3 linked regions of the Arabidopsis thaliana genome follow. The protein of the gene in region 1 purifies or fractionates together with the protein of each later gene. This does not show direct contact. Each region holds a gene or a part of one and is shown in the gene's direction. Other genes may lie near its edges. The genes, in order: AT3G59510, AT4G29700 and AT4G29710.

What was found.
Region 2: the proteins of AT3G59510 (region 1) and AT4G29700 fractionate together in Arabidopsis thaliana (co-fractionation; one large-scale study listed by BioGRID). This does not show direct contact.
Region 3: the proteins of AT3G59510 (region 1) and AT4G29710 fractionate together in Arabidopsis thaliana (co-fractionation; one large-scale study listed by BioGRID). This does not show direct contact.

Annotation. Positions count from the first base shown.
Region 1 is NC_003074.8:21,987,889-21,991,924, reverse strand, and holds AT3G59510 (Leucine-rich repeat (LRR) family protein), read left to right. Parts: upstream 1-2,077; 5' UTR 2,078-2,212; coding exon 2,213-3,472; 3' UTR 3,473-3,536; downstream 3,537-4,036. Other genes in the region: AT3G59500 (Integral membrane HRF1 family protein), read right to left, coding at 3,756-4,036.
Region 2 is NC_003075.7:14,542,479-14,546,930, reverse strand, and holds AT4G29700 (Alkaline-phosphatase-like family protein), read left to right. Parts: upstream 1-1,620; 5' UTR 1,621-1,806; coding exon 1,807-3,192; 3' UTR 3,193-3,793; downstream 3,794-4,452.
Region 3 is NC_003075.7:14,546,285-14,549,451, reverse strand, and holds AT4G29710 (Alkaline-phosphatase-like family protein), read left to right. Parts: upstream 1-1,857; 5' UTR 1,858-2,049; coding exon 2,050-2,451; 3' UTR 2,452-2,667; downstream 2,668-3,167.

The DNA of each region.
Region 1 (4,036 bases):
TCGACCAAAGTATATGAATTCTCCAGAAGGATGAAAGAGAGATCTTTTCTTCCTTGGGACTCTGATTCGATTCGTCGTGTTCGCGCTAACTTGTTCCAGATTTTTCCAGGAGAAAGTTTCGTCTTTTCACCAAATCGAGTCAGAAAAAAAAACATTGAATCCAATTTTTTGTCTGTGTCGGCTTGACTTGTGGTACTGGGCCTAGGTCGTAATAGACCTTGGGCCTCTCACCATGAATTCTTTTGTCCAGCTATAAAAAATCTGGAATAGGAAAATTCAATGTTTAATTGTGGGAAAAAATGTTATAGGATCACGGTTGAATTTCTCACATAGCAATAATGTTTTTTTTTCGAAAAACATAGCTAAATATGACTGATATAATAGATTTCCATTTTAAAAAAAATAGCTAAATAATGTTTTGCTATTATTCTTGTCAAAATAAACTTTCATTTTGATTTTGTTCTTCAAAATATGGCTTTGGTAATTAGTCCCTAGCTAACATGTTATTCTTTTACGTTCATGTCTAACATTCACATGATGTTCTAACATACATAAGCTGCCTGAAATCCAAATAAATAGAGACAAATCCGTTTACAATTTCTAAAGTTCATCAAGTCAGCTACATAATATATATAACCAAATTGTTTTTTTTCTTTGGTTATATATCATGTAACCAAAATAATAACTAACAAATTTGGACGAATTGAAATTTAAACATGGTAGATCGTTTGTCAACTTATTAGAAATTTGGGATTACAGATTCATGTTTTTGATCGTCTGTTAATACTAGATTACAAACAAATAAAAAGAATGTTCGCCTTTTGTTTTTACTGTCGTTATCAATGAACAACAATGACAATATCAAAACTATGTTCGTTTTATTGTTGTTGAACCCATCCTTAAATTTTGGCGCACAAATATGTATTCCAGCAATTGACGACAATTATTTAAACACTATGTAGTTTTCACTTTTCAGTATTCTAATTCTCACGTACGTTGTTGTTATTCATCATTTAAGTTACAATGGAACGAACCAATCCTTATATATCGAGACACAAGACAACTAAATAACACAATTTTACTAATATTATTAATTTAAGGATATTATACCCTCTTTAAACTAAAAACAAATATATTGATAAATGATAATTGTTATTAATTTCTAGCTACAACATAAAATAAATCTTTGTGACTGAAATTTGAAACTAGTTTATTTTATTCAAGTATAAATGTTATTATTTATAAAAATTTATTTAGATAATCTCACCCATAGCTAAAACAAATAAGAGGATGAAAGTGAATATATATATATATATATATATATATAAAAAGTAAACATTAGTTTAACTAATGCTTGAAGGCTTGAAGCTCCTTGTTGAAGCCAACCATTTATTTCTTGTAAACATTATGAGCCATCAATTTAGAAAAAGAAGAACTTGGGGTTTGCTGGTGGCTTGATTTTGACATGATTCCGGGCCTCAACGTTGGTTGCGATCATCGTTACCATCATCAGAACGATGATGAAGGAGGCAATCATGGTTCTCTTTTCGATGGCCATTGTGCTTGATAAGCTTTTTAAATGGTTCTTGTTTTTTTTTTTGTTTTTTTTTCTGTTTTTGGTTTTATTTTTTTTTTTTGTTTTCTGTATCTTTTGGTTGAATCATCAATGTATTTATATGTAAAATCAAACGTCTATATATAGTGAATTACTAAAATTAAAATTTTGTGGAATGTTTCAATAGTCTTTACTTAGATAATTGGTCAAATGATCACCTCTAGTTTTGTGGTTTCTTAGATTGAATTCTAAATTTATCTTCCAAATTTCAAGCTGACACATGCCTATCATGTGAATTTTACAAAAGTTTGAATTCAAAGTAAAACTTCATGAAAAATTAATAACCATAAGTTATTATCACTTTGTTTGTGATTTTTATTGTAACAAAGTGATATTGTCCAAGTCCGTGAACGGAAAAAGCATGGAAAAAGAAAAACTAAATGTGAGTCAATCCATATTTTGTTTGATATATCATTTATTAATGATGATGCTACAAAGATGTGAATCTCACCAATAACATACCCAAAACCCTTTGAAGCATGTTAGATTCCAATTAGGTTCAACACGATCTTCTTCTTCTCCTTATTCTTCTTCTTACAAGAATACTCACTTAAAAAGAAATGGTTCCATCTTTCCTCTTAAAGAAGAACCATAACAATGGCTGTCAAAATACTACCATCTTCTTCTTCTGCTTCTTCTTCCTTAGTATTCATCATGTCCTTGTTCTTTCTACTTCTTTCACTTATTGTCCCTTCATCAGTTCTATCAGCCACTCTTCGATCTGATATTCAAGCTCTAGAGTCTATAATACGCAGCGTTGATCCAAGTTCCATCTCTCCATCCTCTTACCTCAGCACATGGGACTTCTCTGAAGACCCGTGTGAAGGCTCAGGGACGTTCTTGGGAGTTATGTGTTCTTTCCCTCTGGAGAACACAACTAGCCGGGTTATAGAGATCGATCTTGATGATGACGGTTATGACGGTTTCCTCTCTGATGAAGTAGGAAACCTAACTGAGCTCACTGTCCTTAGCCTCAACAAAAACAGATTCCGCGGTCCAGTACCAGAATCTGTGTTCCAGCTCCGGAAACTTACCAAACTCTCACTAGCAGAAAATTTCTTCACTGGAGACATACCAGCAGAAATCACGCGGCTCAAGGAGCTCAAAACCATCGACCTGTCGAAAAACAGTATCGCCGGTGAAATCCCTCCAAGGATCTCAGCCTTGAGAAGTTTGACTCACCTGGTCCTATCAAACAACCATCTCGATGGAAGAATACCTGCGCTCAACGGCTTGTGGAAGCTACAAGTATTAGAACTCGGTAACAATCATCTTTATGGAATGCTTCCTAAGCTTCCCCCAAGTCTAAGAACTCTATCACTCTGTTTCAATAGCCTTGCAGGACGTATATCACCCTTGCATAGGCTAAAACAGCTTGTGTCTTTAGATGTGAGCCAGAACAGATTCTCAGGCACCGTTGGCCATGAAATCCTAACATTCCCTGAGATTGCACGCATCAATGTGTCTTTTAACCAGTTCATATCCATAGAGGTTATTAAAGTTACAGGATCACGCCTGCGCATGCTTGATGCTGAAGGAAACCATTTACAGGGGCACCTTCCGCTGAACCTGGCAACTTATGAAAACCTAAAGGATATCAATCTACGGAGCAACATGTTCTCTGGCGATATTCCTAGGATTTATGGGAAAAGACTGGAGAATTCATGGAGAAGCTTATACTTGGAGAACAACTACCTGTCAGGTATACTTCCTGAGGAGTTTCAAAAGATTACCAAACAGATCAGAGGAAACCTATCGAACAACTGTCTGCAATGTCCTAAGAATGTTCAAATCTGCCAAGGAACACAAAAGCCAAAATCACAATGCACCAATGCAATGCTGGGGAGCTTGGAGTAGAGATCAAGCGCATGGGAAGCAGTTTCTGTTAGAAAGCATAATTACCAAAGCAAATTTCATGTCCTTGTTCGGTTTTCAATCATGTTAGAAATGTAGTATATGAAAAGTGAGATTCAGAAAAGGGAAGGGAGATAACACTTTTCTTTCCATATTGATGTTTGACATACAGAAGTCTAAACCAAAAAAGCTCAACTACCATATAATATATCCATCAGGAGGACATTCCAAATTCTGCTACATAACCTCAGAGGTGTTTTTCACAACAATATAAACGTAATGCGTTTCAAAAGAGCCAATTCACACTAATGTTACCAAGCCAGATCAAAAGAGGAAACTGGGCTAAAGCAACAAAGATCAAGAGATAGTGATGCCTGCTTGAGTCATAACTCCTAGATTCTGCAAAGAGAACTCGCTTCATTGTCTTCACTAAGAATACCCCAGTGCATAAGCAGGTCCACGGAATCAAAACATAGTAAGAGTATCCCCAGATTATCTTGCCAAGAACAGCTAGACAAAGGCCTGTGAAAGTATAGCCTGCATATGCCACAATATCCAAGAGAGGGG
Region 2 (4,452 bases), on another chromosome or scaffold:
TGAGTGACTAGCTAGTGTATGTTTTCTATAATTCTATGTGACATTATATTTTCGATCGCGTACGCATATACCTTATCATTACCTAAATTGTTCCTAAATATTACAAAATATCATATTTGTATGATGGATGTGTAGTAACTAAAAACCATTCAGTATTCAATACTCAACTAGAAAATAAAGTCCACTGGGTCATATTATCTAAAATCTTATCAAAACTCAAAGGCTAATACAATACAATCTTATTTGGGATCAATTACGAGATCAGCACAATTAAGTCTGTGCCTTTGTCTAGTTAGGTAACTTCTCATATGCTTATAAAAATAGGTACTTCTCTCTCTGTTTATGTTACGCTTTCACCCTTCTGCAATTTTTCTTCATTTTTCCAATACTTCTCTCAATGGTGATGACGGTGAACTACGTTGACAATAACGAACAATTTTTTGGTTTAGAATTAGTGATGAATTGGGGATTAATTGATTTGAATCTTTTTTAAGAGTAGAACCCTTGGGTTTCTTAGATAGTATTCTTAGGGTTTATATTTCTTCCATAACAAATCGTTTAACTTGATTGATTGGATTAATTTGAGACGACGTTTTGGTGACGGAGAAAATTGGAAACAAAAGAGATAGTGTTTTTGATGGACTTAAAAGTGATGGTGTTGACAAATATGGTGCTTATGAAGCAAGTGCGGCAGTGAGAAGGGATTGAGGATTTGAGTTGCAGAAAAAATTGTTGACAACGATGGTGTTGTTATCAACACTATAACCTCTAACAAGGGGTAAAACCGTCATATCCCCTATCAATATATGCTTATTTCCATAAGTCCATTCAAAAAATTCATTTTTTCTAATTATTGGGCTAAAATGTGTCCAATCTTACAAAAGCCCCATCTTATTTGGCTACATTCTATTATTGGCTGGTCCCCAAACACTTTTAAACCGTATAGAGTTGGCATAAGCGTATTTTACATTTATAGGGACAAGGGTCAAACACAGGCCATCCAGTCACCACGAAAGGATCGGATATATCTCAACGTGAAAACACGTGAGTTAAATCAAGACCGTAAGATCAGATATCAACGGCTCTCCCGCATCTGGATCATGCAGCTGACAATAATGTGAACGTGACTTCTACCTAACTCTTATATTGTACTTATTCAAGGAATCTATAATTATTTTTCACAAACTGCCATAACGATTTAGAAAAGTAGTCAAAATTCCAAAAGTTGGAGGATATTTTTTTTATTGTCATTTGACACAAATATATAGAGTAGTAAATGTAATCTTTCATGTCCAAATTTTATTTTTGACAAATACCTCAATATGTCCGATTTAAATTTTCTTTTGTCAACGTCCCTTTAATTTTTTTAATCAATTTTTTGTACTTCATTGTAATAATATGATCACTAATAACATTTCCATTATTTCAATAACTGATTAATTTTTGCTATGTGATATTAATGATGTAATCTAAAAATTGTTGTACTAGTGAGTAGTGATGATTTATCAATCAAAACACCAACTCAACACCCAAGCTATAATATATACAAAAAAAAAAAAAAAAATCTAAACAGACAGGCAATTAAATATCCTCCTTAATTAAAGACAAAACCCCAAATAATTCTGATTTTATATATCACTAGCTATTATGTACCAACTACCATCGATCGCCCATGCATTACATGAGCAATATGCAGCATCAAAATTTCAATAAAAGTCTAATTCTGTTATTAAAAAAGGGAGAAATTACATTCTCACGCTCTATAAATAACATGAGCTGCAAGAACCATAACAAACCTTATTTCAAATGGCTAAAACCAAAAATGTTATTTCTTTCAAACTTTCTCTCATCTTCCTTCTTAATATTTTCATCGTAGCCACCATCGCAGCCGCAGCGGCCGTTAACGCCGGTACCAAAGGTTTGGATTCTCGGCCGTCCAAAACCAGGCGTCCCTGGCCTTTCAAGAAGCTCAACAAACCGGTGGTTTTAATGATCTCTTGCGACGGTTTCCGGTTTGGTTACCAATTTAAAACGGACACACCAAACATCGACCTTCTCATATCCGGAGGAACTGAGGCCAAACACGGTTTAATCCCGGTTTTCCCCACCATGACATTCCCAAACCACTACTCTATCGCAACCGGACTCTACCCGGCTTACCACGGTATAATCATGAACAAGTTTACCGATCCGGTTACGGGAGAGGTGTTCAACAAAGGCTTACAACCAAAATGGTGGTTAGGTGAGCCGCTGTGGGTAACCGCAGTAAACCAAGGTCTCAAGGCTGTGACCTACTTTTGGCCAGGCTCTGAAGTTCTAAAAAGTTCTTGGACTTGCCCTGAAGGATATTGTCCACATTTCAATCTTTCAGTTCCTTTAGAAGAAAGGGTTGATTCGGTCTTGAGCCATTTTGATCACCTTGAGGACGAAGTTCCTGATTTACTGATGTTGTATTTCGATGAGCCAGACCAATCGGGTCATAACTATGGTCCTGATGATCCTCGGGTTACGACTGCTGTTTCTAGGGTTGATAAAATGATTGGTAGGGTGATAAAGGGGCTGAAGCAGAGGGAGATCTTTGATGAGGTTCATGTGATATTGCTTGGTGATCACGGAATGGTGACCAACTGTGAGTGTAACGAGAAAGCGATTTACATTGATGACTTAGCGGATTGGATCAAGATACCCGCGGCTTGGATCCAGGCTTACAGCCCAGTGCTAGCAATCAATCCTCAGTGGGGGAAAGATGTCGAGAATCAAAGCGAAAAGAACGCGGAAGTCGTGGCGAAGATGAACGAAGCTTTGAGCTCAGGGAAAGTAAAAAACGGAGAGTTTTTGAAAGTTTACTTGAAGGAGAAGCTACCAGAGAGACTGCATTTTTCAGAGAGTTATCGGATTCCACCGATCATAGGAATTGTCGGAGAAGGTCTAATGGTCAGACAGAACAGAACAAATGCTCAAGTTTGCTATGGAGACCATGGTTATGACAACGAGCTCTTCTCGATGAGGACTATTTTTGTCGGACATGGTTCTAGGTTTAGTAGAGGAAAAAAAGTGCCATCATTCGAGAATGTGCAGATCTATAACGTCGTTGCAGAGCTTCTTGGACTCCGACCAGCTCCGAACAATGGTTCTTCTTTGTTCCCTCGGAGCATTCTCTTGCCTTCTGGAGCAACAAGGGAAGTAAAATGAAGTAAAATCACTTAGCTCATGAATAATAAGTAAGATGATAATGAGTGACTAATCTATGTGCTCAATCTTGTGACCCTTAATGTTTTTGAATAACCAGGTTTCGTGGACTGAAGCGACGTTAATAGAACAATTCGGCATCTTTTCTTTTTTTATTCGAATGTATATATCTAAATCATTACCTAAATTGTTCCTAAAATAATTCAATTAATATCATTTTTGTAGGATGTTTAGTAGTAAGTCACATCACACACTATGCAATACTCAAAACTAATTATTTCTACTTATATATATATTGCAGTCAGTCACATGTACCTCTCAATCCATAAAAGTCCAGTTTAGTAAATATTATATTGATAGTAACGTTTATTCAACATATCATGATCTACTTGATATGAATTAATTTATTACATTAAAGTTACTCAATAATAGTGATGTAAGAAGATCTCTCTTTCTCACTCTCCCTCGATATGTCAATTGTTCGATATAGAAAACTCTTGGACTTGTTTAATTTTGGGAGATAAGATTGGAAAAGAGCAGACCCATGCATCAACAGAAAGAGGGGTTGTTTTTTCCGTAGTTAATTCCTTTACCAAATAAATCTCTTCAACTTTTGAGGTAATTTTGATTTGAAAGGAGACGTTTTAGAGACCAAACAAATGGTGGTTCATATACTTTGTTCCTAATACATTTTTTTCTTTTTTTTATCATTGGAAAGTATTTTAAGTATATTTGATTTTTTAGATCTTGGAGACTAAATTTTAGATTTTGGCTAGAAATCTATTCCAATTAAAATATATAGATTACTCACCGTTTTCTTTATCATTTCACCAATTTCCATTGTGTTGATGAAGTCACGAATCTCGAGTCCGATCATATTCGGCCATCCCTATGTATTAATTAAAAATAAAGATCAGGACGTGAAAGGATTCTGAAAAACATGGGGAAAATCAGAAATCTCAACAACTTTTCAGTAGATGAGTCATTTAATTCATATGTTAATACTATTATCATAATAGCATTTAAAACCATACGATGCTTTTATTGATTTGAGATTAGAGAATCTATTACTTGCCGACAAGACAGTCAACACTTCAAAAAGTTATATCACCCACCATTACCTGCCACTTAACACTAGAAGAAGAATTAGTTAGTTAATCAAAAATAAAACACGAGAGATTCTTGTTATATATATAAAGAGAAAAAAAAAAGAACTTTGCCGCTCTATAAAGAATGTGAACGTTGCTAGAGCTCAACCAATCA
Region 3 (3,167 bases), on another chromosome or scaffold:
CATCACCTTTTTACTATATATCACTAAAATTGATATTATGAAAAGGATTTAATCATCTCAAAATGAAACCAAAGCCCATACGAATTACTCTGTATGAGTTAAAATAATGTTCTTATCTATTTTTTGGTAATGCAATGTTCTTATTGCGAGAAAAAAGTTGAAAAATTTACCTGATGCTTCCATTATTTTTCTTACGGTTTGAGAATGTACAATTCATTATCTTTTTGTACATCCTTAACATGATCATTTTTGTGTTCTTTTTCGTTTTGCAGTTTTGATTTTTTTATTAGCTATAGTGCACTTGGGTTGATATGTGAATTAAGTAAATTATCTAATAGGTATAAAAAAAAATTATGTTGGTTGTTGTTCCTTTATAAAGCTTTTTGTGATTATTATGTTATACAAAAGTAGACCTCTCTAACAAAATTAAAGTAACACACTATATATAGGGAAGCTTATAGCTTTTTATACACACCCCAAGTTGTTTAAGAAAAAGATATGTCTAATAAAAATAAGATGTATGGAAAATAAAATGTGCTAAGAAGGAATCTAGGTAGCAATAGGTCTTTGGTCATTTATTTTTGTACCTAGACTTTTGATTTGTTATCTCAAAGTGAACCAAAGTGATGATTAAAACAAAGTGTCCAATATTGAAATGCACAGAGATGGCCAAATGAGTAAGTTTACATGGCTTCTTTGCATTTTTCTGTCCCTTCGCTAAAATTCAAAAGGTTGGTGCTGGTTAACATCTTATTGGATCTGTACTTTTCTAATTTGGTTACATGGTCCCTTTTCATTTTCATTCCATGGTAATTCAAAGAAAACAAGATGAAGCAAATGAAGTCAAATTTATGTTATGTATTTGACCAGTATATAGATTTATGGTCCTAAACTCTTAATCATGAGATGAACATGAAATCCAAACTATTCTTTGATTCATGATTGTGACTTTGTGAATCTATTTGTTAGAACTATTGTAACATACAACAAAATCACGATCATTTACCAACAAATCACAATTTTCTCACTATAATCATTATCTTTGTCGATATCATATGTGTGACTATGACACATGATCATGCCTTATTTATGGAAATAAAAAAAACTCGAGTTGAAAAGTATCTTCCATCATAAAAATCAAGTCATGAAATCGATAAACGTACCATCAATCTTGTTATGTAAACTACTAGTTAGAACTTAGAAGGAATCAAGGAAAAAAAAAAGTCAATTAACAAAAATAGTAAAATACCAATATATTAAAAAATATTTCTATCAAAATTAAATTTAGAAAGTTTTCTTATAAAATTTTGTTTGGGCTACATTCAGAGCCCAGTAATTTCAAAGACCCATAGGATCGAAGAACTTCAAAACTAACCAAAAATAAATTAGCATGTGCTTTTTGTCCAAAAAATTAGCATGGGCTTATACTTCCCTTTATAAGCCCTTATATCAACACTGGCCATATTTACCACGAAAGGATATATCTCGATGTAACAAACACGTGAGTCAATTTCAAGTCAGTAAGATCAGATCATATCAACGGTCTACCACGTCTGGGTCATGATCATATTATTCGTTTTGGTTGAGTCATATCATAAATATAATGATAAATTGATATTGTGTCTTGTACGCTTTTACCTAGTTTTGGCATTGTACTTATTATAGGAAACTGTTCCTCGCTGCAAAGTTGTAAATATTATTCACGGGGAATTATTCATAGATTCCCTTCACGTTTTGAAAAATAACAAAACTGACAGATCAGCCAGTCGTTGAAGTTGAAGAGCCCACCACGAAATGTTTTATCTCAAAGGTAATTTACGTGAGTAAAATCAAGACCGTAAGATCAGATATCAACAGCTCTCATACATCTGGATCATGCAGATGACAATAATGATACTATGAATTTTACCCAACTCTTGTAGTGTTATAATTATTAAAGGAATCTGTTTCTACTGTAACATTTTTCACAAACTGCCATAGATTTAAAACAAAACAAACAAAACAAACATCGAGAATCAAGGCGAAAAGAACGCTGAAGTGGTGGCAAAGATGAACGAAGCTTTGAGCTCAGGGAAAGTAAAAAACGGAGAGTTTTTGACTGTTTACTTGAAGGAGAAGTTACCGGACAGACTGCATTATTCCCAGAGTTATCGGATTCCACCAATCATAGGAATGGTCGGAGAAGGTCTAATTGTCAGACAAAATAGAACTAATGCTCAAGAATGCTACGGAGACCATGGTTATGACAACAAGTTCTTCTCAATGAGGACTATTTTTGTCGGACATGGTTCTAGGTTTAGGAGAGGAAAGAAAGTGCCATCGTTTGAGAATGTGCAGATCTATAGCGTCGTTGCAGATATTCTTGGACTCCGACCAGCTCCGAACAATGGTTCTTCTTTGTTCCCTCGGAGCATTCTCTTGCCTTTCAGAGCAACAAGGGGGTTAGAATGAAGCCAAAAATCTCTTATAGCTCAAGAGAGCACTCAGACTCAGAAATAGTAAGTAGCTTGATAAATGCGAGTGAGTGACTAGCTAGTGTATGTTTTCTATAATTCTATGTGACATTATATTTTCGATCGCGTACGCATATACCTTATCATTACCTAAATTGTTCCTAAATATTACAAAATATCATATTTGTATGATGGATGTGTAGTAACTAAAAACCATTCAGTATTCAATACTCAACTAGAAAATAAAGTCCACTGGGTCATATTATCTAAAATCTTATCAAAACTCAAAGGCTAATACAATACAATCTTATTTGGGATCAATTACGAGATCAGCACAATTAAGTCTGTGCCTTTGTCTAGTTAGGTAACTTCTCATATGCTTATAAAAATAGGTACTTCTCTCTCTGTTTATGTTACGCTTTCACCCTTCTGCAATTTTTCTTCATTTTTCCAATACTTCTCTCAATGGTGATGACGGTGAACTACGTTGACAATAACGAACAATTTTTTGGTTTAGAATTAGTGATGAATTGGGGATTAATTGATTTGAATCTTTTTTAAGAGTAGAACCCTTGGGTTTCTTAGATAGTATTCTTAGGGTTTATATTTCTTCCATAACAAATCGTTTAACTTGATTGATTGGATTAATTTGAGACGACGTTTTGGTGACGGAGAAAATTGGAAACAAAAGAGATAGTGTTTTTGATGGACTTA